Coturnix japonica: one gene and its partners. The protein of the gene in region 3 interacts with the protein of the main gene of each other region in a pairwise test. Links are inferred from orthologs where the notes say so. Each region holds a gene or a part of one and is shown on either strand. Other genes may lie near its edges.

The links.
Region 1: the proteins of BYSL (region 3) and MID1 interact in binary tests that used the Homo sapiens proteins (3 or more experiments, as listed by UniProt). The two-hybrid records come from large-scale screens. The link is inferred for Coturnix japonica from reciprocal best matches to the Homo sapiens genes BYSL and MID1.
Region 2: the proteins of BYSL (region 3) and LTV1 interact in binary tests that used the Homo sapiens proteins (3 or more experiments, as listed by UniProt). The two-hybrid records come from large-scale screens. The link is inferred for Coturnix japonica from reciprocal best matches to the Homo sapiens genes BYSL and LTV1.
Region 4: the proteins of BYSL (region 3) and LZTS2 interact in binary tests that used the Homo sapiens proteins (3 or more experiments, as listed by UniProt). The two-hybrid records come from large-scale screens. The link is inferred for Coturnix japonica from reciprocal best matches to the Homo sapiens genes BYSL and LZTS2.
Region 5: the proteins of BYSL (region 3) and HMBOX1 interact in binary tests that used the Homo sapiens proteins (3 or more experiments, as listed by UniProt). The two-hybrid records come from large-scale screens. The link is inferred for Coturnix japonica from reciprocal best matches to the Homo sapiens genes BYSL and HMBOX1.
Region 6: the proteins of BYSL (region 3) and CEP70 interact in binary tests that used the Homo sapiens proteins (3 or more experiments, as listed by UniProt). The link is inferred for Coturnix japonica from reciprocal best matches to the Homo sapiens genes BYSL and CEP70.
Region 7: the proteins of BYSL (region 3) and myomegalin-like interact in binary tests that used the Homo sapiens proteins (3 or more experiments, as listed by UniProt). The two-hybrid records come from large-scale screens. The link is inferred for Coturnix japonica from reciprocal best matches to the Homo sapiens genes BYSL and PDE4DIP.

The regions. Positions count from the first base shown.
Region 1 is NC_029516.1:112,129,357-112,133,295, reverse strand, and holds the start of MID1 (E3 ubiquitin-protein ligase Midline-1), read right to left. Parts: upstream 2,801-3,939; 5' UTR 2,644-2,800; intron 1-2,643. UniProt on the Homo sapiens protein: Has E3 ubiquitin ligase activity towards IGBP1, promoting its monoubiquitination, which results in deprotection of the catalytic subunit of protein phosphatase PP2A, and its subsequent degradation by polyubiquitination.
Region 2 is NC_029518.1:47,266,620-47,270,567, reverse strand, and holds the start of LTV1 (protein LTV1 homolog), read left to right. Parts: upstream 1-1,148; 5' UTR 1,149-1,392; coding exon 1,393-1,395; intron 1,396-1,537; coding exon 1,538-1,669; intron 1,670-2,129; coding exon 2,130-2,318; intron 2,319-2,478; coding exon 2,479-2,566; intron 2,567-3,335; coding exon 3,336-3,456; intron 3,457-3,948. UniProt on the Homo sapiens protein: Essential for ribosome biogenesis.
Region 3 is NC_029541.1:4,735,776-4,739,855, reverse strand, and holds BYSL (bystin), read right to left. Parts: upstream 2,801-4,080; coding exon 2,415-2,800; intron 2,334-2,414; coding exon 2,195-2,333; intron 1,988-2,194; coding exon 1,854-1,987; intron 1,668-1,853; coding exon 1,507-1,667; intron 1,302-1,506; coding exon 1,199-1,301; intron 1,068-1,198; coding exon 719-1,067; 3' UTR 453-718; downstream 1-452. Other genes in the region: MED20 (mediator of RNA polymerase II transcription subunit 20), read left to right, coding at 2,799-2,908, 3,053-3,204, 3,369-3,622. UniProt on the Homo sapiens protein: Required for processing of 20S pre-rRNA precursor and biogenesis of 40S ribosomal subunits. May be required for trophinin-dependent regulation of cell adhesion during implantation of human embryos.
Region 4 is NC_029521.1:20,199,742-20,204,018, forward strand, and holds the start of LZTS2 (leucine zipper putative tumor suppressor 2), read right to left. Parts: upstream 2,801-4,277; 5' UTR 2,581-2,800; intron 2,492-2,580; exon of another isoform or gene 2,399-2,491; intron 1,844-2,398; 5' UTR 1,805-1,843; coding exon 1,373-1,804; intron 983-1,372; coding exon 413-982; intron 213-412; coding exon 1-212. Other genes in the region: TWNK (twinkle protein, mitochondrial), read right to left, coding at 3,683-3,943, 4,183-4,277. UniProt on the Homo sapiens protein: Negative regulator of katanin-mediated microtubule severing and release from the centrosome. Required for central spindle formation and the completion of cytokinesis.
Region 5 is NC_029518.1:96,819,285-96,823,364, reverse strand, and holds the start of HMBOX1 (homeobox-containing protein 1), read right to left. Parts: upstream 2,801-4,080; 5' UTR 2,499-2,800; intron 2,372-2,498; exon of another isoform or gene 2,352-2,371; intron 2,332-2,351; exon of another isoform or gene 2,164-2,331; intron 810-2,163; exon of another isoform or gene 178-809; intron 1-177. Other genes in the region: INTS9 (integrator complex subunit 9), read left to right, coding at 3,110-3,118. UniProt on the Homo sapiens protein: Binds directly to 5'-TTAGGG-3' repeats in telomeric DNA. Associates with the telomerase complex at sites of active telomere processing and positively regulates telomere elongation.
Region 6 is NC_029522.1:18,786,337-18,790,635, forward strand, and holds the start of CEP70 (centrosomal protein of 70 kDa), read right to left. Parts: upstream 2,801-4,299; 5' UTR 2,774-2,800; coding exon 2,668-2,773; intron 2,517-2,667; coding exon 2,393-2,516; intron 2,083-2,392; coding exon 1,902-2,082; intron 1,625-1,901; coding exon 1,455-1,624; intron 383-1,454; coding exon 323-382; intron 1-322. Other genes in the region: FAIM (fas apoptotic inhibitory molecule 1), read left to right, coding at 3,509-3,552, 4,083-4,218.
Region 7 is NC_029523.1:4,150,917-4,154,416, reverse strand, and holds part of myomegalin-like, read right to left. Parts: intron 2,695-3,500; coding exon 2,616-2,694; intron 2,085-2,615; coding exon 2,002-2,084; intron 1,825-2,001; coding exon 1,708-1,824; intron 1,166-1,707; coding exon 1,028-1,165; intron 701-1,027; coding exon 588-700; intron 1-587. UniProt on the Homo sapiens protein: Functions as an anchor sequestering components of the cAMP-dependent pathway to Golgi and/or centrosomes.

The DNA of each region.
Region 1 (3,939 bases), on a different chromosome or scaffold from region 3:
TCCTAGTTCTTGGTAGGTTCTGGTGTGATAGCACAGGCTTTGCAGCTGCCCCATTACATATGCTTTGGGTGGCAGAGGAGGGTACAAGAAACCTCATGGCAAAGAACATGAGTGCCCACACTGCCGCCCATCTCCCTGGAAAAGCCTGCAGTTGGGACCAGCCCCAGGATGGCCACAGATTGCTGATCAGATCACAGAATCACTGAGGTTAGAAAAGACCTACAAGATCGTCCAGTACAGCCATCCACCCATCACCAATAGTCCTCACTAAGACATGTCCATCAACTCAACATCCAAATGTTCCTTGAACACCTCCAAGATTGGTGACACCACCACCTCCCTGGGCAGTCCATTCCAGTGCCTGACCACTCTTAGAAAAGTAATACTTCCTAACATCCAGCCTGAATATCCCCCGGCACAACTTGAGGCCATTCCCTCTAGTCCTATCACTAGTTACACAAGAGAAGTGGCTGTCACCCAGCTCACTACAGCTTCCCTTCAAGTAGTTATAGAGAGCAATAAGGTCTCCCCTGACCCTCCTCTTCTTCAGACTCCTAGCTCCCTTAGCTGTTTCTTATAAGGCTTGAGCTCCAGACCCCAGACCCGGGGCTAGAGTAAGCTCATGCCAGCCCAGAAGATTCTGTGCAGGCTTTGAATCAGAGTTCTATCTCATTTTGCACTGGGAAGCCGAAAGACCATGAATGACTGTAGCACAGCTAGATGCCAAATGAAGGGGGACAATGTAATTTACTAGATATGCTAGGGGAAAGGAGATTCAAGAGTAAGTTTATATAGTGCCTTATCCTGCCCTTTAAATTCATACTTCAATTACTAACGACCCTACTAAAATCTATCCTCTGTGCTTCCACTCAATTAACATTAATAAAGGTTATATTCCCCAGAGATGTGGTGAATGCCACATCCATGGAGACACTCAAGGTCAGGTTGGACTCGGCTCTGAGCAACGTGATCTAGCTGTAGGTGTCCCTGTTCATTGCAGGGGAGTTGCACTAGGTGGCCTTTAAGGATCCCTTTAAACTCAAATGATTCTGTGATTGTATGATATGAACTGAAAATCACAAGGATGAGAAGTGATACAAAGGAACTGCATGGTTCTGGTCCACTGGTACTGTATTTGCTGTACTGCCTTCCACCAAGACCAAAGATGTTTCATGACAATCAACTCACTAGCTGCAGTTCTGAAGCACTGTCTAGTGTATACCTTCTTTGCCATGTTGATGCTCCAATAAAATGCTCTACTGAAACTACTGGTGTGTGTCATTCCCACTGATTCCTCAATAGGATTGCCATGCATATAAGTGAATGAGAACATGTATCAACACAGGTGAATTACAATCCTGATGCCTCCTTAGTAATGTCGCATTACAGACTCCAAGTAGACATTCATTCAGAAAAATGTAAAAACTTTATGAGTTTTTAAATAACAATAATCTTCACTCTAAGCTTTTAAGCCCTTAGTAGTAAGACTGTACTTTACTTTCATACTTTGGTCCTCAGAAGAGATAGAGCTGAAACTCCCATAACTAGTGCATTATCACTCATACGCCCACTTAAATATGATTAACAATGAAAATTAGTGAAAAGCATTGTTATGTCTACCAATTGCTAAGATAACAAAAGCATTTTGAAAATAAACTCCACCTGTTGCTGAATAGTTCTGTGTGGTTTCTCCTTAGAAGGCACTTTTCAGAGAAATAACTCAAAGTATTCTTTCATTGCTATCTTTTATACCCTAACTGCACACAACTTGAGTGAGCTGCCACAGAACTCACGTGCTGGCTGATGCTAATGGCTAACTATCCTGAAGGACTGCATAGCAGCATTCTTCCAACTAGAAAGCTGTTTGAGGTAAGTTTTCAACTTGACTTTTTATTATGTCTTCACCAATATCTACACGGAACAAACTTTTCCTCCCCTTCTTTTCACTCTCTCAGTCAGGATTTTACACAGAACCTCCTGTGAAGGTTAACAGAATGTGCAAATATTTCCCAGGCAACACATCCTTGTTGTGAATTGGTGTAATCTCTAACAGTAGAAGAACAAGTTTTGCTTACATTTCTTAGAGCAGAACCTGCAGTTTGTTTTTTTAACTCACTGAAAAAGCTTTATTACTGCAGGAACTCCCTGTATTCCAGCAAACGCATCCCAGCTACGCTGACTGGGCTGCATTCACACACATCACAATAAAGAACACTGAGATCCCGGAAGGGCTAAAGGAGCACACCTTTCACAAAAGGCATGTTTCACGCTACAAAGTGAAGGACTGCTCTCCAGACGTGACAGTACCATAAAATTCCGCATTTGCAGAGGTTCGTAGAGTTAAGCAAAGCATCTCAGCCTCATTTCCAGTCACACATCTGATTTCCATCAGAGATAAGAAAGTTTGATTATCACCCCGGTAAAAAGGTGTACGTGAATTAGAAGCGCACAGAACGTCAGATAAGTGAATGTAATCGTGCGTACAGATGTTGCTGCAAACAAGAAGCACGCTTTTGCTTTGCAGCCTCTCTAAAATCCAGCAAGCCATTTCAGGGGGGGAACAGCAGTTGCGGGAACAAGTCTCGCAGGCACCCCCCGAGCCTCTCTCCCACCCTCCCGCCTCAGGGCTCCGTGCCGACATACCTGCCACTCCATTGTTGCTCTTTTCCTCCTCGTCTTGAAGTTGAAGAAAACGGGATAGTCCTTCCCAGCGCTGGGCTGCTCTGCTGCTTCTGTTGCTGCCTCTGCCGCTGCTATTGCTGCTGCCGCCGAGCCCTGTCCAGCCCGCGCAGTGCCGCTCTCTGGGCGCGGAGTTAGCCCCAGCCCCAGCCCCGCCGCCTGGCAGGTTTCCTTATATAGGTGAACACTAATTGCATTCCTAGTGGAAGAGGCTAGCCGGGAGAGAGCTTAACTTTGTTAACTCCACAAATACCAAATGGGGCTGCCTGCCTGAAGTTTGCTTGCGTAGCACTTCAGTGTCACCAGAGGGGAGAGTGGGTTCCTTGCAGCAGTTTAGCACCTATGAAGTTATTCCATTTCTTACATCTATAGCAACAGTGAGTGCTATGTCACTATTACGTTAAACACTTGATATTTTTGCAGGACACCTGCCTTAGCCTATACTTTTGACTCCAAGAAAAGCACAAGGGTTCACAAAGGTAACACGCACGCACATTCTGGTAGCATTAAATTAATTCCAATTGTATCAGTTTTCTATGCGAAAAGGCTGCCATATATCAAACGTTACATGAAAAAGAGTTGCGACACTGCAGTCAATGGGGAAGAAAAAAAAGAAAAGAAGCAGTACAAGCCAAGGTTGTTTACTGTTTCCTACTTCCTTTTCTAGACAATGTAATAGCTGAGCTTCTGGTGATAGACCTGTCTTAGTCCGGGAGGTGTGATTGTGATACATTAACAGACACACCCACCCACACAGAGATAAATGGATAGGGTGCTTACCCAGAACAAGCACACACCGCACTCTGCAGAGCAGAGGTGTACCTGACTCCTCTTGCCCATCCACTGCTCACTAAACCCCTTCTGCAAGATCAACTCAGATGTCTTCAAGAAGCAATCAGTTAACCGTAGGGAAAATCATGCTGCTCATTTCCCTTTATACTACTCACACAAGATTCCCCTGTTCATTATGGCCCTCCTTCAACAAGCCGCAACACTAACATAGGCAGAGAGGGACAGGGAGCGAAAGACAGGAAGGAGCAAGTAGAACAAAGGGTGAATGAAACCAAAACAAGAAATAAGAGTTAAAAGATTTGATCAAGTGATGAAAAGCTGATGTTTTAAAACAGTACATTGAACTATAAAGTGTATCTTTTTTTTTTTTTTTTTCTTTTTCCCTTCTTTCATTTGTTCCTTCGGATGTATCCCTTATAACTTCAGACAGAAAAGAGACAAAATCCTCTTCCTGATGACCTCTAGACC
Region 2 (3,948 bases), on a different chromosome or scaffold from region 3:
AAGACAAGTAAATTATCTAGATTTGAGGATTAAATCAAAAGTAAATTCCCCAATACCATGTCAAATTTAACCATATTTGATCATTGTTATGATATAGTAAAACATTATTGATTGTATCTTTTCCTTTCACTACATTTTGTGGTGGTATGCTGATTTGTAGACCTGTATAAATTGGGGAATTAAAGAAATACTGTGTTTTGGACAATTGTTTTAGCTGGTCTGATTTTAAACAAAACAAAAAGATACCGATTGGTTGTTTCAGTGGACTTTTGTGTGAGTAGGGCTGGGAAGGGTGTGGAGATGGAACAAGTTGTTGTTGGAATGGAATGGAATGGAATGGAATGGAATGGAATGGAATGGAATGGAATAGGTTTGGTTGGACTGGGCCTATAAAGAACATCATGTCCAACCGCTTTTACTCTGAATAAATCCTGGCAGTATTAATATGACCTGCTTCATAGACCCAACTTTACTTCAGACATGAGACTTCAAAGAACTTCTGTTTTGTGTGTCAGAGCTGAGGCTGGTTAGGGACAGGGCACTGCTCAGTGCTGAGCATTATGCAGTGAGCATTTCATGTAATTAAAAACCAAATGCATTTACTTGTATTTGAGCAGCGTGACTTGTCTGACATTGTGTATTGATACCTGTGAATGTAAATAACTGGAAAAGCTATGAATTAATTACGGCTTCTGTACTGTAGCATGTACCTATACACACACACACACAGATTTATTCTGATATTGTCATCAGAAAGAATAGAACGTGTATTATGTGGGTTTTTTTTCACAGAGGTGATATATTGTGCTTGTTCTATGGTGCATAAAGAAAAATATCATTGTGTGCTGCCTAATTGTACAGTACTGTAGGATACAGTGCACAGTTCCAAGTGCCTTAGACAAATGTTTGGCTGTTTCCATTATAGATACGTGTGAATGTGTATATAAATACATATAAATGGGGCAGGCGGGGCGCTGGGGACACCTAGCGACGTGTGGGGAGCCGGGATGGCTGTGAGGTACACACGGCAGCGCTCCGCCCCATCATGGCAGCTCGACACTGCGCGTGTGCCGTGCCCTATGGCCGCCATTGCTGGTGGGATGGACCATCTCCTCTGTGTAGGGGACGAAGTGGGAGATGCGTCCCGTGGGGTGGCGGAGAAATACCCTACGTGCGTTCTTAGAACCCGCCTCTCTATTTAAACGAAGTCCTATTGCAAGCAAGCTCGTTGGTGTTCTTACTAAAGAATAAAAGAGCCCTTTGGAACGACGGTCCCACTACATCCCCCTGCGGCCTGTGGTTGCTCCCCTCACGCACATCCCATCTGTCCCGTGTGGGGCCGGGCTGTGTGAGCGTGTGTGGAGGTGGCTGTGTCGGGGTTGTGTTTAGGCCATGGTGAGACGGTGGTCGCTGTGGGGTTGGGGGCGGGAGAGCCTCGGGTATGCGGGGTACGGCAGCGGAGCCCGAGCAGAGGGTTCTTTCTGGATGAGCTTAATCGTTCATTTCTTATTAATGATTCTTAAGCGTCCCTTTGCAGCCTCACAAGAAGAAGAAGCCCTTCATAGAGAAGAAGAAGGCGGTAACGTTTCACTTAGTGCACAGAAGCCAGAAGGACCCCCTCGCTGCTGATGATACGGCCCCGCAGAGGGTCCTGCTGCCTGCCCAGAGGGTAAGTGCCTGCTTGTCATAAGGGGTTTGCCCATGTGGCAGGAGCTACAGGGGGGGAAAGTGGCGTGCAGCTGGATGATTCATAGCAGAGAATGAAAGATGAAGGCATGTAGTCACACTTAGGCATTAGGAGGGAAATCTTTCCTCAGAGGCTGGTGAGACACTGGCACGGGCTGCCCAGAGAGGCTGTGGTGCCCCATTCCTTGAGGTGCTCAAGGCCAGGTTGAATGGGCCCTGGGCAGCTGAACTGGTGGGCTGGAAACCCTGCCCATGGCCAGTGAGTTGGGACTGGGTGATCTTTAAGATCTCTTTCAATTGAAGCCATTCTGTGAGCTTTTTTGTTGTTTTTTATGCTCCTTTTTATGAGTTTGGGTGTTGACAATGGAGACATTACTTCTATTTTTGCTGACTTTTAAGTGGACTTAAATAACTGCCTGTATTTTTTTCCTTACAATTTCAAGGGTCACGAGGAGCAGAGGAGGGAGGAGCAGCGGAAATATGGAGTCTTCTTTGATGATGACTATGACTACTTGCAGCATTTGAAAGAAGCATCTCGCCCCTCTGAGCTTGTCCCTTCTTTCCGTGGACAGCAAAGCAGAATTGTCATCACAAGTGAGGGGCACATAGAGGATGAAATTGAACGAATTGCTGTAAGTAGTATTTTTGCTGATAGAGAGGTAATTGCTGGTCAAACTTGTGGAATTTCATGACACTGGATCATGTTGGAATGGAAAATCCTTGAATAATTTCAAGCAGTTAAGTATGTAATTGCCCGTCAGTCACTTCTAACGTTTTGTTTGTTTGTTTTAGGCTCCATCTATTAAGTTGCCTTCCTCAGTATTTGCCACTGAATTTGAAGAGAATGTGGGCCTGCTAAATAAAGCAGCCCCTATTTCAGGTACCGTAAAGTCCTGTGCCTTTCTGTAACAGGTGTTGCCATGTAGGTAATACTCAGTAATTAGCAGCACTGTAAACAAAGCAGTAGTTGTTTTGTTTTGTTTAGAACAGACTCAAGAGCAGATAACAAGGATGATCTCTATCAGACCTGTGTTTCTGTTTGAGACCTCCTTCTATCAGTCAGTAGTAATTGCTTTTAAGCATTGCATAGAGGGAGGAAAAAAATCACAAGTTATTGCTATTATCTAGCACATAGAAACTAATAATAGGGGAAGGCTTCTTTCACTACTAACGATATTATGTAGGTAATGCTATTGATTTGACTCCATCGGTTGAATGCAAATGTGTAACTGGATTTTCATTCTCAGAATTCCTCTTTTCAGTTGCTGAGATACTTTTACTTTCCTTCATCAGCTTAATTTCAGTGTTAAAAGAGTGCTCTTTGTGTGCCTATGTTTGAACTGTACTAAAGATTCACTTTCAAGTTATCTAAGGTTGTTGTTTTTTGTAATAATACTTAAAGTTGATAGTCTTGATAGTGTTAAAACAGATTAAAATACATTTTTGTATGCCTAAGACATCTTGGGGGATGTTCTTTTCTGGATGAGGAAAACCAAGAGGCTGATGACTTACTAGTTAATTTGTATCAAATCTACAAACATTACCAGTGAAACTTGTGACTGCTAGTCAAATTGAATTGCTTTTTATCAAGGAAGGTGGCTTTGGGATGTCACGGCAACTTACATATGTAAGTTTTTTCCTCTCTCCAGGACCACGGCTGGATTTTGACCCTGATATTGTTGCTGCTCTTGATGATGATTTTGACTTTGATAATCCAGAAAATGTTCTGGACGATGATTTTGTTCTACAAGCAAACAAACAAAAGGAGGGGTATGTAAAGCTTTGGGGAACTGCTTGTGTCACAAATGAATACTAATGTTACTGTGTGTTATTTTGCATGTTGCTGTAGGAAGCAAGTTTCAGGCTTAGTATGTTTATGTCAAAGGTATGTGTTACGTGGGTGGTAGCTTAAAATAATAATAATCAAGTTTACAATAAATATCCAAGTCAAGAGATGGGTTTTGTTTGCTACCTTGACCCTACAAGTTAATATTCATCAACATCACTACTTGTGAAGCTTTTCTGAAGGTCTTGGAAATGCATATTGCCACGGTGCATGTTATTTTTTTCCTGTTTTGTAAAAATGCTATGAAAGATAAATAGCAGTGATCAGTTTTACAGCATTTACTATTCAAGAGTCTGGTGTTTTTCTACTTTGATAAGCACAGTAGAATGTGAACACATCCTTGCTGTCAGTGTGCAGGTGTGTGATCCACAGCTATCAGAATCATTTTCAGCTTTTAGGCAGTTGTGTCAGGGAAC
Region 3 (4,080 bases):
ATGCTTCCAGGAGCAAGGACAGGAGCTGGACATCTGCAGGAGCTGTAGTGTCCAGGTGAGCACCCAGGTAAGCGCGGAGCCTTGTGCGATGCCCCGCTGGATTTTACAGCAGAGGTGGCACTTCAAGGCAGCTGCCACGTGTGGGTTATGGCCTTGCCCCTTGCCCCCACCTCTCACAGGAAGATGTTTAACCCCAGCCCCTCTGCCCAACATCACAGAGGCTGCTTAATGCACAGCACAGTTGGGAACGTGCTCGCTGCTGACCAGAGCACAAGGAGGGCAGGGAGTTGCACAGCCCCTGGTCTCCTTTTGCAGCCGGGACAGCTGCAGCGCAGTGCTGCAAGGAGCCGCTGTTGGTGGCTTTGCTCTGCCCCCTGCTGGGGACAGGACGAGGGGAGGGGGACAGGGCAGGACGATGCACGGATGCAGCCACACAAAGATGCAACTGCAGGTCAGAGCTGCTCCAGGAAGGACCCAGCACGGGCTTTATTTTCCAGAACAGGAGCAGGACAAGCCCTACTGCTGTCCTGGGTGCCAGGGCTGTAGGGCTGCCCTGACACAAGCAGCGCAGGGAGCCCAGCCCAGCCCCGTGGTTACAGCACCATGAGCAGTGGGATCCCAGGGCTGGATGCTCCCAGACCCCTGGACGTGCTGCTCCCAGCTGTGCAGCAGCCCCCAGGAGCCAGGCCAGGCTGTGGTGCTTCCTTCCTTCCTCCCCTCACTCCATCACTGCCGGCTCCTGCCCCTCCACGTCCCGTGTCTTGGAGTTCACCAGCTCCCTGCGGATCTCGGCTGAGATCTGTGGGTGGCTGTGGAACTTGAGCAGCTCGAGCAGAGCTTCCTTCTGCTCCGAGGACAGGTCCTCCTTGTAGCGCTGGGCAAGAGCCAGGAAGCTCTGGTGCCACAGCACGGGCAGCGTGCGCTGGTCTGTGCGGAAGGCCAAGAAATGGAAGACCAGGGCATCCACCACACGGAACGGCAGCGCGTACTTCTTGTCGATGAGCAGCCGCAGGAAGATACTGTTGGCACCGTTATATGGCATCTCAGCAATCTTCAGCATGGCTGCACTGTGGGGACAAGGGGAGCAGCAGGTGAGGGCAGGGCACAAAAAGGACGGCTTTGAATCAGCCCTGAGCAAAGCTCCCCCACTCTGAGCTGTTGGATGGGCTGAGGGGCAGTGACTGCCCCAGTGCATTACCTGGAGTGCAGGACAGGGATGGAGCACTTGGTGAGGATGCTGCCGATGATAATGGCCTCCCGCAGTGTGCAGGTCCCCGATTCACACAGGGGGATGAGGATCCCTGTGGGGAGAGAAGAGCTGGGCACCACTGGTCATTGCAGCAGGCAGAGCTGTGGGGTGTGAGGCTCAATCTCTGCTCTCTCAGGGCACATTTAACCCAAGGAAATAACATCTCTGCATCATGGGCACCTTTCCACCTTCCTCCCCCTGCCCTGCCCTGCAGCAGGTTCCCAGGGGTGGAGTGCAGCCCTGCAGGGAGCCCCTACCTTTGAACCAGGCTCCTGGCTTGAACAGAGCCTTCTTCAAAGCCATGTAGAGGTGGAAGTTGAGGCGCTTATACTCAGCGATATCATCTCTGACCCGTGGCAGCAGCACCAGGTTGTAGAACCTCTGGGCCATCCTCTCCTTCAGGTTGGATGAAAATATCCTGTGAAATGCAAAGCATGAAGAGTGAGCTGTGACTCCAGAGCCATCCACCCCCAGCATCAGGATCCCCTCTGCTCCACAGGCACAGGGCAGGAGGAGCAGCTGTAGGACACACGATGGTATTTTGTCCATCTCGTTCCATTACAAGGAGAAAACAACAGCTCAGAGCACACTGAGCTGGTCCCACCTCGTGGCCTGGTACATCGCTGCTGCCGTCCACGTCTCGGGCTCCGTGATGTAGAGGATCTGCTCCCAGTTGGACAGGGCAGGAATGATTTTAAATGCCTTGGGGAGCTTCCCACTCCTGTATTTGGACAGCACCTTCAATGGAAGCAGAGGGGGAAGGGTTTGTCTCAAGGCTGTAAGCAACCTGTCTGCTCCCTGTGCAGCTCCACTGCGTGTGCTCACACAGCACGTATGTGCTCACAACACCCGAGGGACACAGCAGTGCTGTCTGCACTGCTCCGCCGGGAGCTGGGGGGTCCCACAAAGGTGTGTGTGGGGCCGGGGGGGCCGCAGTGCCCTCACCTCTCTGACGCCTCTGTACACCTCTATCACGCGGGGGTCGAGCTGGGGCATGGGGCGGCCCGACAGCTCGGACAGCGCCGTCTGCACCTCCGTCTGCTTCTCCGTGATCTTCTCCATGATCACATCCGCCAGCGTCCGCCTGGGGGGGCGGCAGGGGTCGGTGATGGGGAACCGGAGCTCCCCGTCCACCCCCCGCCCATTCCCACCCCTCCTCCGGTACCTGAGCGGCGCCGCGCGGTTCATGAACATCTCCAGGGCCTTCTCGTCCTCGGGATCCACCTGCACGTCCCCCCCGCCGCCCGTCCCGTCCCACTCCGCCGCCCGCTGCAGTGACGGCCACTCCTCGTCCTCATCGTCCTCCTCCGACCCGCGCCCGCTCGGGGCTGTCGGTGCGGGCGCCCCGGGGCCGTGCTCGGCCTCCAGCTCCTCCTGCTGCCTCCGGGCCTCCCGCAGGATGCGCCGGGACAACCGCGGCCCCACGTATCCGCCGTCCCGTTCCTCCGCATCGCGCCCCGCGTCCCGCGCCCGCCGGTTCCGCACCGTGGGGGCCGCAGCCCGCAGGATCTGCTCGTGCAGCGGCTCCGCCACACGCGCCGCCTTCGGCATGGCCGCAACAGCGACACGCGATCAGACGCGCCGGCGCCAGCACGGCCAGCCCCGCCCCTTCCGGTACCGGCACCGCCACTGCCGGGACGGAGCCATGGGGGTGACCTGGTGAGGGGCCGGTGGGGATGGGGTGATGGATGGGGTGATGGATGGGGTGATGGATGGGGTGATGGGGTGATGGGGTTGGGGCTGGGTTTGGGTTTGGGTTTTGTGGAGGCCCCGCGGCCATTTTTGCTGTTTGTCGCCCCGCAGCGTGACGCAGGTGCCCGTGTTGGAGGGTAAGAGCGTGCAGCAAACCGTGGAGCTGCTGAGCAAGAAGCTGGAGCTGCTGGGAGCCGAGAAACACGGAGCGTTCGGGGTGGACTGTGAGACGTATCACACGGCAGCCGCCATCAGCAGCCAAGGTGGGAACCCGGGGGGGGCGGGTGTAGTGCGGACATGGGGCATCTGCTGGGCTGGTCAGCATGGAGAGGAGAAGGCTGAGAGGGGCTGGGGGCGCTTATCAACCCATACGAATGTTTAAAGGGTGGGTGTCAAAGGAACGGGCCAAACGCTGCTTTTCTTTCAGGGCAGACGGGCAAACTGATGTACGTGATGCACAACTCCGAGTATCCCCTCAGCTGCTTCGCTCTGTTTGAAAACGGGCCCTGCCTGATCGCGGACGCCAACTTCGACACGTTGATGGTGAAGCTGAAGGGATTCTTCCAGAACGCCAAGGCAAACAAGATCGAGAGCCGGGGCACGCGGTACCAGTACTGCGACTTCCTGGTCAAGGTGGGAACCGTCACCATGGGCCCCAGCGCCCGCGGGATATCCGTGGAGGTGAGAATCACCTTTAAGGGTATGAAATCCAGGGCAGGGAAATCCCATGTTGGAGGCTTGGCTAGAAACCTTGAGTCCCCATCCCTTCCATGTATCATCTGTGTTACTCGTTGCTGGCAGGTTGTATTAATGCATTCAATGCCCTCCTGCTGCAGCTTTGGCTCTAAAGCTGCTTTCTCCTGGTCACAGAGCTCTGTGCTGTCAGTGCTGCCCCAGATCTGAGATGAGGTGCTGAAAGGTCTTGTAAAATCTGAGCATGTGTTTCCCTAAACACACAAATCCTATTAACTGGTCTGTAATTAATAATGATGGCGCATCTACCCAGGCAGGTGTTCCGAGCTAACAGGGATGGGATTGAGAAATGCCTTGGTTTTGCTTCATAAGAATAAACACAGATGTAGTGGTGCGAGCTGCTGCTGAGCTGGGGTTAAAGAGAAGCTTGTTTTACCCTAAGCTTG
Region 4 (4,277 bases), on a different chromosome or scaffold from region 3:
GCGCAGCGACGCTCCAGCAGCTCCCGCTCCTGCAGCAGCTGAGCAAAGTCCTCCTGCAGTTGCTTCTTCTCCTGCTGCAGCTGCAGCACCTGGAGCTGCAGGACCTGCTGCCCACGCTGCGCCTGCTGGGCCGCCTGTCGCACCTGGGCCGCACAGCGCTGCCGCAAACCCTCCAGCTCCTGCTCACAGCGACGCTGCTTCTCTTCATACACCTGGGCACAGGCACACGCTGAGATGGGACATCCCACATCCCACACCACCTCCATGTCTCCCCAAGTCAGCATCTACAATCTCCATGGGGTTCCCCAGACACATCACTGCATGCATAACCCAAATCTACACAATAGGACTATATGGGCACCCCCAGCCCTGAGAGCTCCCCTGGTTCTCCTTACCCTTATATGGTTCTTACCTGGCAGATGGCCACCTCATTCTCATCCAGGCTGTCCCGCAGCTGCTGCAGCTCGGCCTCCCTCTCCCGCAGCTTGTCCTCCAGTTCACGCACCAGCAGAACCTCCTCACCAGGCAGCGGCGAGCGCCCGCAGGAGCCACTCTCGGAGGAGGGCCGGCCCCGGCCACTCAGCGAGCCCGTGCTTTTGCTGGAGGATGAGCGCCCACTGTCCGAGTTGGAGGGGCCGGCTGGTGGGCGGTAGCCACCTGGGGGCTCAGGGTGGCTGTGAGGGGTGGCTGTGAGGTTGCCAGGCTCAGTATGTTGGCTGCAGCCTGTGCTGTAGGTGGGCAGGCTGGACAGAGAGTTGCGTCCCGAGTCTGAGAGCGTGCCTGAGTGGCTGCTGGTGCGGCAGCTCAGTGAGCCAGGCTTGTCGGCCCCGGTGGTCCCCAGCAGGTGGGTGAGGCTCACCTGGCTCTCTGATAATGCTGCAGCCCCTGGACGTACCCCTTGGCTGGCCGGGCCCGGAGCAGCCCTGACTTTGGGTACCACCGGTTTGAATGCCATAGGGCGGATCAGGGTCTTCTCCACATTCTGCAAGGCAAAAGAGGAGAGAGTGGGATCTGGGGACCAGGTACACTCCAGAGGTGGCCTGGCAGATGCTGGGGATGCTGCCAGAGCACCAGGGAGGACTTGGTAACCCCACCAATTCTGCTCCCACCCAACACCTCAGAGTGTCACAGCTCTATAGAAGATGACCACTAGGTGCCCTCTGCTCCATGCAGCAGTTTCAGACAGGCTCCCACACACACATGGCCACTCCTGACATGAGGAAGAGGGCAGCAGGAGCACAGAGATCACCACCACCCCCAGCGACATGGACCATGTGCTCTCTCTATGCATGCACCAGCACGTCTCCCCAAGCCCAGCAGCCCCAGTGCAGCACAGGGCTGAGCAGATCCCCCAGCACTGCTTCCACCTTACCTCTTCTAGCTTGCCAGAGACAGGGACAAGCTTGGGGGGCGGCCCCCGGATGCCACCACTTGGGGCTTGTTCATCCCGTGCCTCGTCTGAGTCGCTGCAGGGGCTGACGGGAGAGGCTGCCTCCAGCCACTCCCCATGAAAAACTTCATTGGTGTAGGCATGGGCAGTGGCTGAGCACGGCTTCTTGGGGGGCAAAGTGTGGAGCAGGGGATCCGGGGGGCTGGCTCGCAGCAGCGTATCCTGCACACGGAAGGAACCACCAGCACCAGCAGGCTGGCAGGAGCGATCGTGGCATGGTCGGCTGGCAATCAGGCTGCCCACACTGCCCATGGTGCCGTGGGTGGGCAGGGGGGAGCGGGTGGCAGTGCGGAGCTGGGCAGCAGCCTCAGGCGTGGCCTCGATGGAAACTGGCAGTGTCTGCACAATGGCCATGGCAGGGGGGCCCCCAGCGGGCAGGGGGGCGCAGGCAGCCTGTAAAAGAAAGGCAACGTGAGGCCTTAAGCAATAAACTCACTCACTCATCCCATAGGACACCAATGAATATAGGACCCCCATAATGGCGCAGGCAGATGTGGGATGGCTGCAAGAGATATGCCGGGCATGAGCAGGCGTCGAGCAGAACAGCATAAAGCTGGGATTAGCCGGAGCAGGGGGAGGCACGGGGCATGCAGGGGGCTCACGCAGCACCAGTGCTCCCGTGCAGGGCCCAAAGGAAGAGCCCCACAGGGGCAGCCCCATGCACTCAGCAGGGTCCCCACTGCGTAGCAGTCACGGTGCCTTCTCTGCCCCACTGCTCCCGGTCCTGCACCCCTGCTCTGCCCCACAGCGCTGCCTACACTGCCATACCTCAGCTCCAGCCTCAGAGAGACGCCCCAAACACCTCATCCTGAAGCATCCTCCTCCCCAACCCCCCCAACCCCGGCACCAACATCACCCCGCTCCCCAATCCCGTCCCTACACCCCTCTCTCCCACAGCTCACGGTCCCCACTCCGCCCCCTCCCCCCGCCCTGGAGCTCCACACCGACGCGTCCCCCCGGGCCGAGCCGGACCCACCCGGGCCGGGCCGCCCCATGATGCGCTCGGGCCGCCGCGCTCCGCCCGCCGCGCTGGCACCGCCCCGGGGCCGCCCCCCGCTTCCACCGCCCCCAGCATCACCCCGGGGTGACGCCGGGCCCCCTCTCCCGTTGCGGGTCGCCCCGCTTCTCACCTGGCCGGCCGCGGCCCATCCGTCCGGCGGGTCCCGGCCCGACTCCGCCGCCCCCTGAGCCGGGAAAAGGAAGAGAGAGCGGGGTCAGGGCCGCCCCCCCCCGTCCCTCCTCTCCGTAGCGCCCCACTGTGTCCCCGCGGGTCCCACCGGCCCGTTCCGGCCCAGGCCCGGCCGCCCTCGCTCACGCTCCGCTCCGCACCGCCGCTCTCCGCCGGCCCGGCCCGCGCCAGGCCCCGCCCGCCCCGCCGCCCCCGGCCCCCGGCCCCGCGGCGGATGGGAGGCGGCAGGGGGTTGCCCTACGGCCGGGCCGCGGGGCAGCGACGGCAGCGAAGGGCCCTCAGGGGGCGGCAGGGCCTCAGCCCGCACCACGGCCCCGCAGGCAGCACGGGGGGGGCTGCGTCCCGCTCACCTCCACATCCCCGTCCTCCGCCATGGGCCCGGCTCCCGGCGCGGCGGCCAATGCCTCCTCCCGGCCCCACGCGTGGGAGCCGTGGGGCGCGGTGGCGGGGAGGTGCCCGGTGCTGGGTCAGCGCTGGGGCGGGAGGTGTGTGTGTGCGTGGGGCCATGGGGCCCCGCTGTGCCGTCCTGCCCCACGCACAGCATGGACACGGGGCTGAATGGGACCCAAAGTTGGAGGGATGGGGGATGGGAGCACGGGGACGCTCATGCAGCGAAGGACAAACAGCTTGAACAGCTCTGCTTTAATAAAAGTGTAAAGAAAACAGAGGGATGGGCCAAAAGCCCACGGCGGGCTCCCCTGTGCTGGGGAGGACTGGCTCAGACACAGTGTTTTGCCATGAGAGGCTCCGAGGCGCCCAGGGCTGTGTCCCTGAGGCATTGCTGCTACTGCTGCTGGTGGTACATGTGGCCAGAGGGGCCGGGCTCAGAGCCGGCAGAGCTGCACTAGCACCACACCGTGCGGGAGGTAAACCTGGGCCATCAGCCTCCACTTAGCAACCCTATATTGACCTGCTCAGGGTACAGAGACCCCAAAGCCTGCACATCCACTCCTCTCCCATCTCCCAGCATCGTGCTCTGCTCAGGAGGAGCGCAGCCGCACGGCACCTGGTGTGCCCGAGTACCAAGGTTGTCCCTGCCACACTCAGGGCTTGCCAGAGCCACCCACACCTCCTCCATTGGGACCCTTCTTGGGTGAAGGCGCCTTCTCCTCCTTCACCTTCTTCAGCTTGGCCTTGCTTTTGCCGTAGGAGGAGAAGGTGAGCGAGGCCTTGTTGAATTCCAGCGGGAAGACGCCTACATCGCCATCAAAGCGGTTCTTGGACACCTGCAGGTAGCGCTTCCCGGGACCCGTCGTGAGCTTGCGGTCCTGCAGGATGAGGACGTTGTCGGCCTCCTGGCTGGCCTGGGGGAGGAGAACATCTCCAGGGGGTGCTGCAGGGCACGGGGCACCCCCACACCCAGCGTCCTCCCTGCTACCCCACGGAGCAACTCATGCCACATCCCACCCACAGCTGATGAGCATCAATCAGCCGCGTGCCACCAGATGGCAGGGGACACCCAGCCCCACTGCAGCACAGTTTGGGTCACGGCGACGTGCCAATGTCCCCACCCTGTCCCCGCCTGAGGCCCAGGAGGAGCCACCTTGGCAGAGCCGAAGATGGAGGCGGTCTGCAGCTCCTTCTCGTCGTCCTCCTTGCGCGGGTGGATGACCAGCGTGATGTGGCACGTGTTGTCGG
Region 5 (4,080 bases), on a different chromosome or scaffold from region 3:
TTGTGCAGCAGACACTGCTCCTAGTTCTGTTGAATTACCGTATCGCAGCACTGGAGGGATGCGTGTTTTCTAGAAAGGTCAATAAAATAGAAAAGAATTGCTCAAGACCGCTTAATAAAGTAGTTCTAGAGATAAGCAGGCCTCATCCACGCAGTATTTCCTTGAAGGTTTCCTTACCATTCTTTAAATAACCTGCCGTTTCACCTCTGGTAGCATTCCTGTAACACAGCTGGCAGTCTGCATAGCACAATGTCGTCTAGACCTGCTCTGAACAGAGTTGGATGACACAGGAGTAAAAATGCTGATGGCTGTTCGGGTGCCTGCGCTGTGCTGAAGGAACGATAGGAGGAAGAACGAGGCAGAGCTGAACGAGACACAAGTTCCTTGTTCCTCCTCCGTTCCTCCCTTGTTCCTCATCTCACGCCCAGGCTCGTCAGACAATCCCATCAACCATACAGAAAAGTTGTGGCGGTCATGGGGCTAAGGAATAATCTTCACATAGGTGGGAAAAAACAATCCCAAACCCCCGTTAGCTGATATAGCATCAAGCACCACTCAGAGGTCTCAGAATAGGCAGCTAACAAACACATCCCTGCACTGCTATCTCCCATCTCTCCTCCCCCACCTGTGCCTCAGAAATGTTTTCTTAACGATTCGGAAGAGAAATGGCAAAAAGGTTGATGCGAAACACAGAAAGAAATGAAGTTCGTTCCCTGTTCTCAAACGATTTGGCCGTAGCATGACAAGAGGAAAAAAACATATTGAGAGCGATAAATCCATATATACCTACTCCAAACTACACCCAGCATCCCGAGGGACCCGATGTAATGGTAAATAAATATAGATGCAGTTCCTACTAATGAGGTAGGGTACAGCAAGGCCAAAGCAAATGCAATCAGCTCGGGGAAAAGAACTGCACAGGACTCCTCCTCTCCCATCCAGGGAAGAAATCAAATAGCAGCCACACCATCCCAGGAAGAAAGCAATGTACCTGATGAACCCTGCAGCAATGAGCTGGGATGCAAGCAGGCACTACAGCACCAAGCCTTTCCCCACCAGTTTCCCCTTCCCTGTATTTACGTGCTGTCTTACAGGCAAATTGTAGTTTTCCCCCCCAGTTTCCTTCCCCTCCATCCCTATATAGTTGGATCAGGGGCATCCAGCAGATCCGCTCCCACACCGCCAAGCCCTGGCTGTCACGTTAACACTTTCCTCCCTACAAAGTTTCAACCTTCCCAGCTCCAGCTCACGTGCTGTGCTGTACTTAAAGCCACTTATCTCTAGTCCCAATGAGAACAAATTAAGCTACACCCCACTCCGCTGTCTGCTTACAGCCTTGATTTTCCTCTTCCTTCTTCCCTCCCCACCCCCCCCAAAGAAGCATTTTGACCCCTGCACATCACCGAACACCCACAGCTTTTTTCAGACCCACCGAAAAGGGTAAAATAAAAACCACAACAAAAAACACGACATTCCAAAGAAGTACTTCGCAAAACAACTGAAAAACCCACCAGAGGTGGAAGAACTCAGCCCAACCTGCTTCATATGTGCGATCTGAGCTGATAAACAGCACCGAACTCGGGTAGGGTCAGCCCAGAAGCGGGGCAGGGTGGGTGGGCAGCATCCCCTGCCATGCCGGGCTCTCAAGGGGGCATGAGGGTCCCCCGAACGAACCCGGGCACAGACAGAGAAGCGTCGCAGCTTCTCTCCCCGTGAAGTAGGGAATAAACAAGCGGCTGACACCCCGCCCAAACCCTCCTCACACGTTTTAGGACCGATTTGTCGCCGGCTCCTTCACCCCATCCCGCACAAACGAATCCCTTCGGTTCGACGCCTTCGCCCTCCCGCAAAGCCCCGGCAGCGGCACAGCTCGGGGGGGGGAGGCGGAATGCCCTTTTCCCCCCCACATAACCGTAGGAAAACAGTTGGGTTCACCCCGGAATGAGTGATCGCTCCCTCAAGGGTCGGATCCCGGAAAGGAATGAGGAGAAAAGAGGGGGATAAAGGGCTGAGAGATATGGGGGGGGTATGGGGAGGGAAGGGGGAAAGAGGGATGAGGGAGGGGGGCCCCCCCCAGCTCCGCTCGGGGTTCGCGGTCCCAGCACCGAAACAAGCGGAAAAATAAAGAAGAATAAAGAAATAAACGAAAGAACCAGCACCCACCCAACCTGAGGGGACTCCGCCGCCGCGACTTCGTCCTCCCCACACCCGGGAGTGGATGGGGGGGTGAAGAGGGGGGATGAAGGGGTGAAAACACAAAACAGAATAAAAAGCCGAAGCAGCAGCAGCAGCAGCAGCAGAGCGATCTCCCTGTTATCCGGGGGCACCCTTCCGTCCCCCTCCTCACGCACCCTCGGATCTCCTCACGCCTCGAATCCCTCCCAGGCTCAGACACAGCCGGGGGGGCCCTTCCCCCTCCCACCCACCCTCCCTCCCACCCTCCCTCCTGGCAGCCCACCCACCCGCCCGCCCCCGTTCCCCCCCTCACCCCCACTCACTCACTCCCGGTGCCGGCGGTTCCTCCGCTTCACCATTGAACGGGCCGCCCCCGCCGGGGACCCCCCCCCTGCAATGAGGGGAGATGAACGTGGACAACAATAGCGCTGTGCTGCCGGAGCCCCCCGAGGATAACAGCCCCCCCCTCCCCTCTCTGCCCCCTCGGCTCCTTTTCTCTCTGTTGGGCTTTATTTTTTTGTGGTGGTGGTTTTTATTTCTCCCCCCCCCCCCTCCCGGCTCGCTCACACCAGACCGACTGTCTTTGTCTGTCTGACAAGCGCCATGTTGATATCAACATCCGAGCTCCCACCTGCTGCAGCTGTGAGACCCTGGGACTTGTAGTTCCCCCCTCCCCAGGGTGACGGGGAGCGCCGCGGCTCACGGACTACAATTCCCAGCGTGCCGTGCGGCGCGGCGCCACCACGGGAGCGCGGGGCGAAGCGGAGCGCGGACTACGGCTCCCAGCATGCAACGGGACGGCAAGGTGATATGGAGGGGGGCGGCATGACGTCATCACGGGGGGACTACAAATCCCGTGATGCTTTGCGGCGGGAAGGGGGAGCGAGCCGGAAGTGGGGGGGCAGGATTGTGCCTGTAAATAGAGCCGGGCAGCATGAAGCTGGTGAGTGGGGGCTATGGGGCCATTGGGGGCCGTGGGGGGTCTATAGGGCCATGGGGGGCTGTTGGAGGCTATTGGGGTCTATTGGGGGCTATTGGGGTCTTTGGGGGCTATTGGGGTCTATGGGGGCTATTGGGGTGTATGGGGGGCTGTGGGGGGCCATGGGAGGCTATTGGGGGCTATGGGAGGCTATTGGGGTGTGTGGAGGGCTGCTGGAGGCTATTGGGGCCTATTGGAGGCTATTGGGGCCTATTGGGGGCTATTGGAGGCTATTGGGGGCTATTGGGGGCTATTGGGGGCATGGGAGGCTATGGAGGGCTATTGGGGCTATGGGAGGCTATTGGGATGTATTTGGGGGCCATGGAGGCTACTGGGGGCCATGGGAGGCTACTGGGGGGCCATGGGAGGCTACTGGGGGCTATGGGGGCTGCTGGTGGCTATGGGAGGCTGTTGGGGGCTATGGGAGGCTATTGGGATGTATGGGGGGGCTACTAGGGGCTATGGGGGGAGCTGGGTGGTGTTCTCTGCGCTGGGATCACCCTCGGGGGTTGGGTGAGGGGCAGGCAGTGGGTTTGGGCCCATAGCACATGGGGCTGTCCCATAGGAGCATCCCCAATGGTTCGGTGTGGAAATAGCTGCTGCTTTAGTGTTAATACACGTAGCTGAGGACACAGCACTGTGTTATTCACTAGGAGAGTGGTTAGGCCCTGGAAACAGGCTGCCCAGGGAGGTTGTGGATGCCCCGTCCTTGGAGGTGTTTCAAGGCCAGGTTGGATGGGGCCATGGGCAACCTGATCTATGGGGTCTCTATGGGGTCTATGGGGTCCTATGGGTCCTATGGGGTCTCTTGGCAACCTGATACTAGTAAATGTGTAGTGTTTGGTGGCCCTGCTAGGCAGGGGGGTGAACTACATGATCCTTGAGGTCCCTTCCAACCCGGGTCAGTCTGTGATTATTACACGCCT
Region 6 (4,299 bases), on a different chromosome or scaffold from region 3:
AACGGGTGAATTGTGCATAGCTAATGCAGTAGTGCTGCCTGTAAACCTCTACAAAAGGGAAAGCCGAAAAACAAACAAAGGATTATAGCTCATGTGTCTAAATACAATGCCCTCCTGGCTGTATGGCCTGACTGCGCAGCTGCTCAGACTGAGAGAAATTTCCAGGATTAATCCAAACTTCCAAGACTATTACAGTGTTTGGCTGTTTCTTATGTTTTAGTGACATCTAGAAAATAGAACATTTGCCATTCCAAGCTTTAAGAACAACAAGGAGAAAGAAAACTTTTAGCAGTAGGACCACAAGGCATTAGATGAGACTCACCGTAGCTCCTTTTTCATTTGATTAATTTGAGATTCATAATAATCGATTAGACAAAGAAACCTGAAAAAGGAAAAATGGTATTTTGAACTTAAGATATAGTTACCAATCTATTGGAACAGGATAGCTTACACAGCTACACTGTATTTTAAAAGTGACTGTTTCTCCCTTATATCAGTCGCAGTTTTCCAAAAAAAGAAATATAGAGACATTAAATGCCTATTAGATTACAAGTGGCAAAATGACTCAAGAGGAGACAAAAGCTAAATCCTCCTGACAGCCCTTACATCTCATGGCTATGTTCACCCAGCAAGCTTAACAAGCTGTCACAGTCTTAAGCTGTAGGGCTGCACGGACCATTGGAGGTGATATAACAGAACAGGTCACACACAGCCTAAGAACTTCCAGAGAAACTACAAGTGCTTTCTAAGGAAATGGCTGCAAGGAAATAAAGCCATAGAAAAACGTATAGGTGAGAAACAGCATTTCCTTTTGAACCACTCTGAGATTTTCTGTTTTGTATGTACAGGTGAGAAATGTCAGGGAACGAATCTCAGAGCTTCTTTTTTTGTTGTTTAATGAGGGCATAAGAAACAGAGAGAGGCACACAATCCCTCTAAAATTTCTCCTAGGTAAACATCCTAGGCAGACCTGGATGGACCAGGCCACACCAGCACAGTAAGGCAACAGCCACCTGAGGCCTAGAAGCTGTCAGCTGTCTCTGACTATAGCTGAAAAACAGAGTTACTGCAGGACATGTAGGCTTTCAGAACATGCACAAAGTGCCTGGAGTTTGCTTGCAGTCAGCAGTCACAAAAGCTGTTTTCCCGAGCTGTCTTTGTTGTTGTTGCTTTTTTGCTTTGTTATTTAAATTTACATTCTAAACGTTACAAGTCCCAGAACAAAATCACTGTAGCAGATGCAGTTTCCAGAATAAGCCATTCCGCCCTCTTTGCTGACACCTAGTGGATACAGAGGCCGAGAATTTTTACCTTCTGCCATGCATTCATTCAGCTTGCACTAACATCTCCAACTTGTTTTTTTTTTCCCATGTAAGTATCAAGAACCGTCACTTTAAAATCCATTTATTCATTTAATGTTACAAGTCATTCACCAATATAACAAAATTCCTTACTGCTGATCTAGAAGGGACTTGGGAGCTCTCTTGCAAAACCGGCAGAACATTTCGGTTTGAGTGGCAACACGCTGCTGCTCCTCCAGCCCAGCTTTGCACAGCTCCCTCTGCAAACGGGCAATAATCTCCTCCTGTTCTTGCAGCTTTTCCTGCTGCTGTTGGTATTTTGCCTGTGAAGAGATAACAGGAGCATTCTGAACTGAACTCACAGGCTGGAGATGGTGCTCCACCAACCCACACTTGGTGCTTGGTCCCAAGAAAGCTTAATCAAACAGCCAGTGGAAGAAGGGTTCATATATTTTTTCCAATTTATTACTAGAAAATTATTTGTAAAACATAAAATCAGCTACAAATAGCATATGAAGTTTGACATGAGACTTGTATTTATTTGGACCAATGTGAGCTTTCAAAAGAAGTCAAAAGTTTGAGTGCTGCAGACTGACTTACCTGTGAATCCATCTGTTCTTTATGAAGTTCTTTGACCTGATTCTGTTGCCGGCAAACTTTAGCTATTGTCTCATCTTCCAGCTGACGGATTTTTGCCTTAATGCTTTCCACCACGTTTTCCAATTCATTAGCCCTTTCCTCTTGTCGAGATGCCCGACCTCGTTCCTGTCGTACCTCATCTCTAGAAACACAAATCTTTGATTTAAATTAAACTCATTTCACTAAATGCACTGCAAGAAGCACAGGCCTGGCAAATATTATCCGATGGTGCCCAGTAACAGCCTGCAGCAGCAGGCACAGGAAATATGCCACTATGGGAAGCAAGAGCAGATGCAGTTCAGACAACAGCTCAAGGAGATCTGGGCCAATATTGCTGCATATAGCACAAAAGTCTCAAGAAAAAGGTCTCTGGCTTTGGATGTGACAGAAAACGGGCAGCAATAGTGCTTTTTGCTTTGCACTACCTGCAAATTCCCTTCACAGCACCTTACCTAAGATTACGATTAGTCTCCATAAGCCCGTACATCATCTTCTGTTGTCGGTCGGTGTCTTCCAATAACGTTTTTAATGCAAGTCTTATTCCCAGAGAGGCCTGACTGTCCAAAGCAATCACATCTGGAAGCACACATCATAAAACAACGCCTTAACCAAAAGCTTTTGGTACTTGAAGATGGCATCACCGTTACTGTATGGAACCGATGGCTTCAGCAGCACCTCATGACTTCATGTCTGCTGCCCAAGGACCTCCACCACCAGCACTCCTTACCTGGGGTGTTTATGGGCACCATTCCATGGCGTAACAGCAGCGTGTTGAGGGTCTCCCATTCCGTTTCCTCCTGCTGAAGCTGGGAAGAGGCAGAAACCTGAGGCATGCAAAAGGCACGCTGACGCTCCGGGTAGAAGGGGAAATGGATGCAGTGAGCCGAATTTGTGCTTTCTGAAGAGCCGGACACGCTCTGCTTTGCTTCGGCGCCCTTTTGTGTCACTACCGCGATACTTCCGTCATATTGAGCCGCCAAGGGAAAGGAAGAGCAGGCAAGGAAAGTAAGCGGCCGAACGGGCGATGAGGGCGGGCTCTGAGCCGTGGGGCGGTAACGGTCAGCGCGGGGAGGCGGGCAGCCGCCATCTTGAGGCGGAGGGGAGGAGGGACCCGCGCGGCCGGAGCGGGGCAGGCGGGTAGGAGGGGGGGGTGTGGGTGTGAGGGGTTGTGAGGATGGCAGTGAGTGATGGGGGAGGGAACGTCGCGGAGTAATGCAGAAATAAAGGCTGTGGCTGTAAACTCGCTGTAGGACGAGTTCAGGGGCCTGAGTGGATGTTGGAGGCGGTTTGAGTCCTGGTTGGTGGCTTTGGTGTTGGTGCTGAGCCTCATGGAATGCGGGTGTGTGGTTCCCTCACAGCTGAAGGGAGAGATGTGGTTACAGGACAGCCGTGCTCTTCATTCGTCATTCGTGCTCTTACACAAAACCAGTTTGTGTCCGGAAAATGATGTTTGTGTCACAGCAAACAAATCCGTTAGTCATAACTCCATCCATTCTCAGCATTCCTAGCTGCTATCCTGCTTTTCTTCTTTTCTTGCTGCTGGTTGGATTAAAAGCCCTTTGTTTACTATGGCATCCCGCGAGGAGGTTACCCTCAGTGAAGAAGAAGTAAGGTAAAACAGCAGAGCTGCAGCCCGTACGGCCTTTGGAAAGATATCCCCCACTGCCGTGGTCACTTATGGCTGTACCAAACATTAAACGTGTTCTAAATGGAAGGATATCTTTTCCAGTCTCCTTCCCTGTGTGTGTTTGTGTGTGCAGAGTTGCATTCCCAAATGATGTAGGTAATATTTCTGCTAGAATCAGTAGGTGATGAGCTTATCTGTTACAACTACTTCTCAAGTTCAGAAGGCTGAAGGGGTTACTCAGAGAGCAAATGAAATGCTGCATTTTAAAGCCTGCTTAAATTTACCCGCAAGGAACATCTGAATCCTAAGTACAGTTTTAAACTATACTGCCCCCTGAACTGGAAGCTCCGGAGTTTGGATGGGTATATATCTTTGTATGGTGTTTGTCAGAGCGAGCCTGCTTACCTGCCTGCTTTTGTGATGTTTTGTCATATTTGAATGATTTTAAAAGCAAGAACGTGCAAGTAATTGTGTAAACTTATGACAATTAATTGACTTTGTTGGTGTTTCCACAGGTCTCGGTACGGCCACATAGAGAAGATGACAGATTTGGTGGCTGTTTGGGAAGTAGCTTTAAGTGATGGCGTTCATAAAATTGAATTTGAGCACGGGACCACTACAGGAAAGCGTGTCGTCTATGTTGACGGAAAGGTGAAATTGCTATATGCTCAACATTCACTGTAATACGATTATATAAGTGTATATCCATAGAGAAGTCATCAGAACAAACAA
Region 7 (3,500 bases), on a different chromosome or scaffold from region 3:
TTGGACACCTCTTGCCTCACATCACAGCCTCCCCAGAGCCCAGCCATCCCCAAAAAAGGCTCCAGCTCATGGTAGGAGACCCCTAGTCACAGCTGTTCTTCAGTACTTACCAAAGCACTTCATGTACGTGCTCTCTTGCAGTCAGGTAGCTCAAATATCCCAGAGGCTGCAGCCCCATGAAGGGCAGGGGATTAGCACAGAGGACAAAGAATGCAGTGGTATGCAACTGTGGGACAGCCTCCTAGATAAGAGCCTAGACACATCTCTATCAACCCAGCAGTTGGTGAGGAATTTGGCAGGGTGAAAACGGCAGCCTCTGAAATATGGCCAAATGTGTGTGGGAAACTGAGCAGGGACTGAGTAAGCCAAGGAACGGGGATGGAAACCTCAGGGCTTGAACAAGAGACAGCAACGGGAGGAGGTTATGTATCATTTAAAGCTGGCCACTGCAATCTCCTTAAGGAAAAGAGGTAGCCTAAGATCTGGACTCCTAAAACAATCATTGCTTCAGGAGTTGCCCCACTGGCCCACGCACACAAATCCCGGCAAAAAACAGGGCAGCATGGAGCCAAAGCAGCTTTGCTTACCTGTCTGGGTGTGTGTGAAACTTTACCAGGCTGCTGTAGAGCTGCCTCTCTGCCTGGAGAGCCTCATTTAGCCGATTTCTCTCAGCCACCAGCCCTTCCAGCATCAGTAACAACTGGTCAGAGAGAACAGAAAAGATGTAACACATAAGTCAAAGGTACTGGCTGCTCAGGGATATGGTGGTCTCCCCTACCAGATGCACCAACACCTCTCCTGCTTGTATTGAAGCAATCAAGTACTGCCAACCCTGGACACCATCCCCCAAAAGTCTATACCCTTGAGACAAAAAAGGGAACCAATCCTTTGCTTTCCCTATATTATATGCAGCCAGCTTTAAAGAACATGCACACCTCAGCATATCCAACAGCTGAGAATAAAGCGCTATAACTGAGCACCAGATAAAACACAAATACATTCAAACTTGCCCTGCAGGACACACTACCTGCTGCCTTCTGTTTCCAGTAGCCTCTTGTCCTCTCGACTCTGCTACGGCCACTTTCTCACGAAGTACCAGCACTTCTTGTGTCAGCCGTTCCACTGCTGGAATTTCTTCAGGATCTACCAGCTGCATCTGCAGATCCTGAAAAGCAAGAGGCAGGAGGGATCTGTGGAGAAGGGATCAATAACAAGGACAGCTGGAACCTTGTGACCCTCCATGGAATGCAGTTACCAACATTTTTCCAGTGTTAGAGAAGACCCTGGTCTCCTAAGAAAGAAATGCCAATGTATCCAGTGTGTATTAACCATAATCAACTGCTTGAAGCAAGAATTAGGAAGGAACACAACATCTGTTTAAAGTGCTCAAGAAAGTTGCAAGCAAGGAGCAAAAAGTCTAATAATGACACTCTCAAGATTTGGGGCCCATAACTTCTGGCCCAAATCGGAGGGCTGTAGGCAAACCAAAAGCAAAACTATACACAAACAGCCATGTTACTCTGAAGAGGTTCCTTGCATTAGCAGACATACTTGGTCATAGATAATCATAACAAGCCTACAGCTTGGTTTCTGATGTCTTGTCATTCATTGGAAATGAGTAACCATGAAGGACAGGATGTGGGGAAAGAAGAGACACCTCTGCAGCCATCTCAGAAGAAGCTGACCCAGCAAAGCATGTTACCTCACCTTGATGAGGTCCTCTTTGATCTGGATGGTTCTGGTCAGAGACTCTATATCAGAAGCCTGCACCTGCAGCTCTTCCTCCTGCGTGGTCACAACAGACTGGAGAGCAGCAAGCTCCCGCTAGGTACAAAAGAGGAGAGTATGAAAAACTTCAGAAAGGTAAAACCCCACTGTGCTGCCCTATCTCTCACTGAGGCACACTCATGTTGGGGAGGGGGGGTCCAAAATCTCTATAAGGGACAGCCCAAGGGTTCCCTGCAGGCAGGAAGACCACCACAGGCTTCAGCACAAACTCACTCTGCTCTCCCTTTCTTTCTTTGCCATTAGCTCCAGTTCCTCTCTGGCATTAGCAAGATCCTTCTCCAGTTCTGCTGCTGATGCTGCAATTGCAAGGACAGTTGGATTACTGCAGTGTTACCATATGTCAGCTGCTCCCTCTGACTGCAAGATTAGACCAGTCCACAATGATTACACTCCCCACCACACCACCTCTTCTTAAACACCTTTCTTCCCTACTTAATTCTTAAACAGCAGCCCAAGACAATAGAAATACCCCAGGCCTCCTGTCTTCACTCCATCAAATATGACATGTCCTGATCTTAAGGCACAACCCAAACCAGCTGCATTATTCTCATTCTAATCTGAACCACTAAGTCAAAATCCCTACCCTGAACGCTACAAAACTTCTTGCAATGAAGAAGTAACTCACCTTAAATCAATCTCTCTCTTTTCCACACACCCACCCCCAAGACATCTGTGAACCTTCATCCAAAGGAGAGGCACAGTTTTATTTCAACACACTTGCTGTTGCTCCAAGCTCGTCACTCTCTAATGGCTTCATGTAAGCATGCTTACCCCACAGCAAAAAAGTCCTGACTTGTTTGAGGACCTTGAGAGAAGCTGTCACTCACCTTCTTCTGTCAGGCAGCTGTTGTCCTGCTGTGGGGGTCCAGCAAGGGCTGCAGCTCCACAAGCTCTTTGCAGTATTTCCTGAAAACACAAAAACCTCCACGTTTGCACCTTTACAGAGAACCTCACAGCTACCCCAGGGCCCATTAGGACTGCAGCAAATCTGCTGGCTGCTTTGTTGATGCCTCTAAAACATGACAAAGCAATAACAGGAACTAGTCAGACAGCAGGGACAAGAGAGTTGCACACAAGATGGAAGCTGCATGTTTGGGCAACAGGGCTCTAGCCTTATTTTATTTCTCACTAAGAGGCTGCTGGCAGTAAGCTTCATTATAGTCAGGATTAAGCAAGTTTTGCTCAACTGAAGCAACTACAACTTTCAACTGAGATTCTGCACAGACCTATATCTTCATCCAAAGATGTGGCCCAGAGGAACTGTGCAGGTAGGAAAACATAAAGCTTGGCCCAAATATCACATATTGGGATGTCTCCAGAGCTCACTTTCATCCTGGGAATAGAAGTGAGCCACCTGCTTGCAGCTGCTTAAGAGCGTTCAACATGTCATCTCACCGATAAACCATTAACAGCTGCTCAAGCAGGAACAGGGCTTATGTAGCCTTACAGTTGTGCTCAGCCTCAAAGGGTTTTTTAGCAAAGCTGCTTTAAAAATACCAACCCCAATTGTGGAAGAGACAGTAAACACCCAGCAGGCTCTGCCAAGAATTAGTGAGACCTAAAATTAGCTCCCTTGTCCCCTCCAGAATGTGACAATGTCAGGGAGGGGATTACAATAAAGCAGCACAGCCCAGCCCAAGGAAGGACTGGGACAGTGCTGGAAGGTCAGGAGGTGGATTTTTTTCATACTCACTTGTGCTTATTGCCTGATC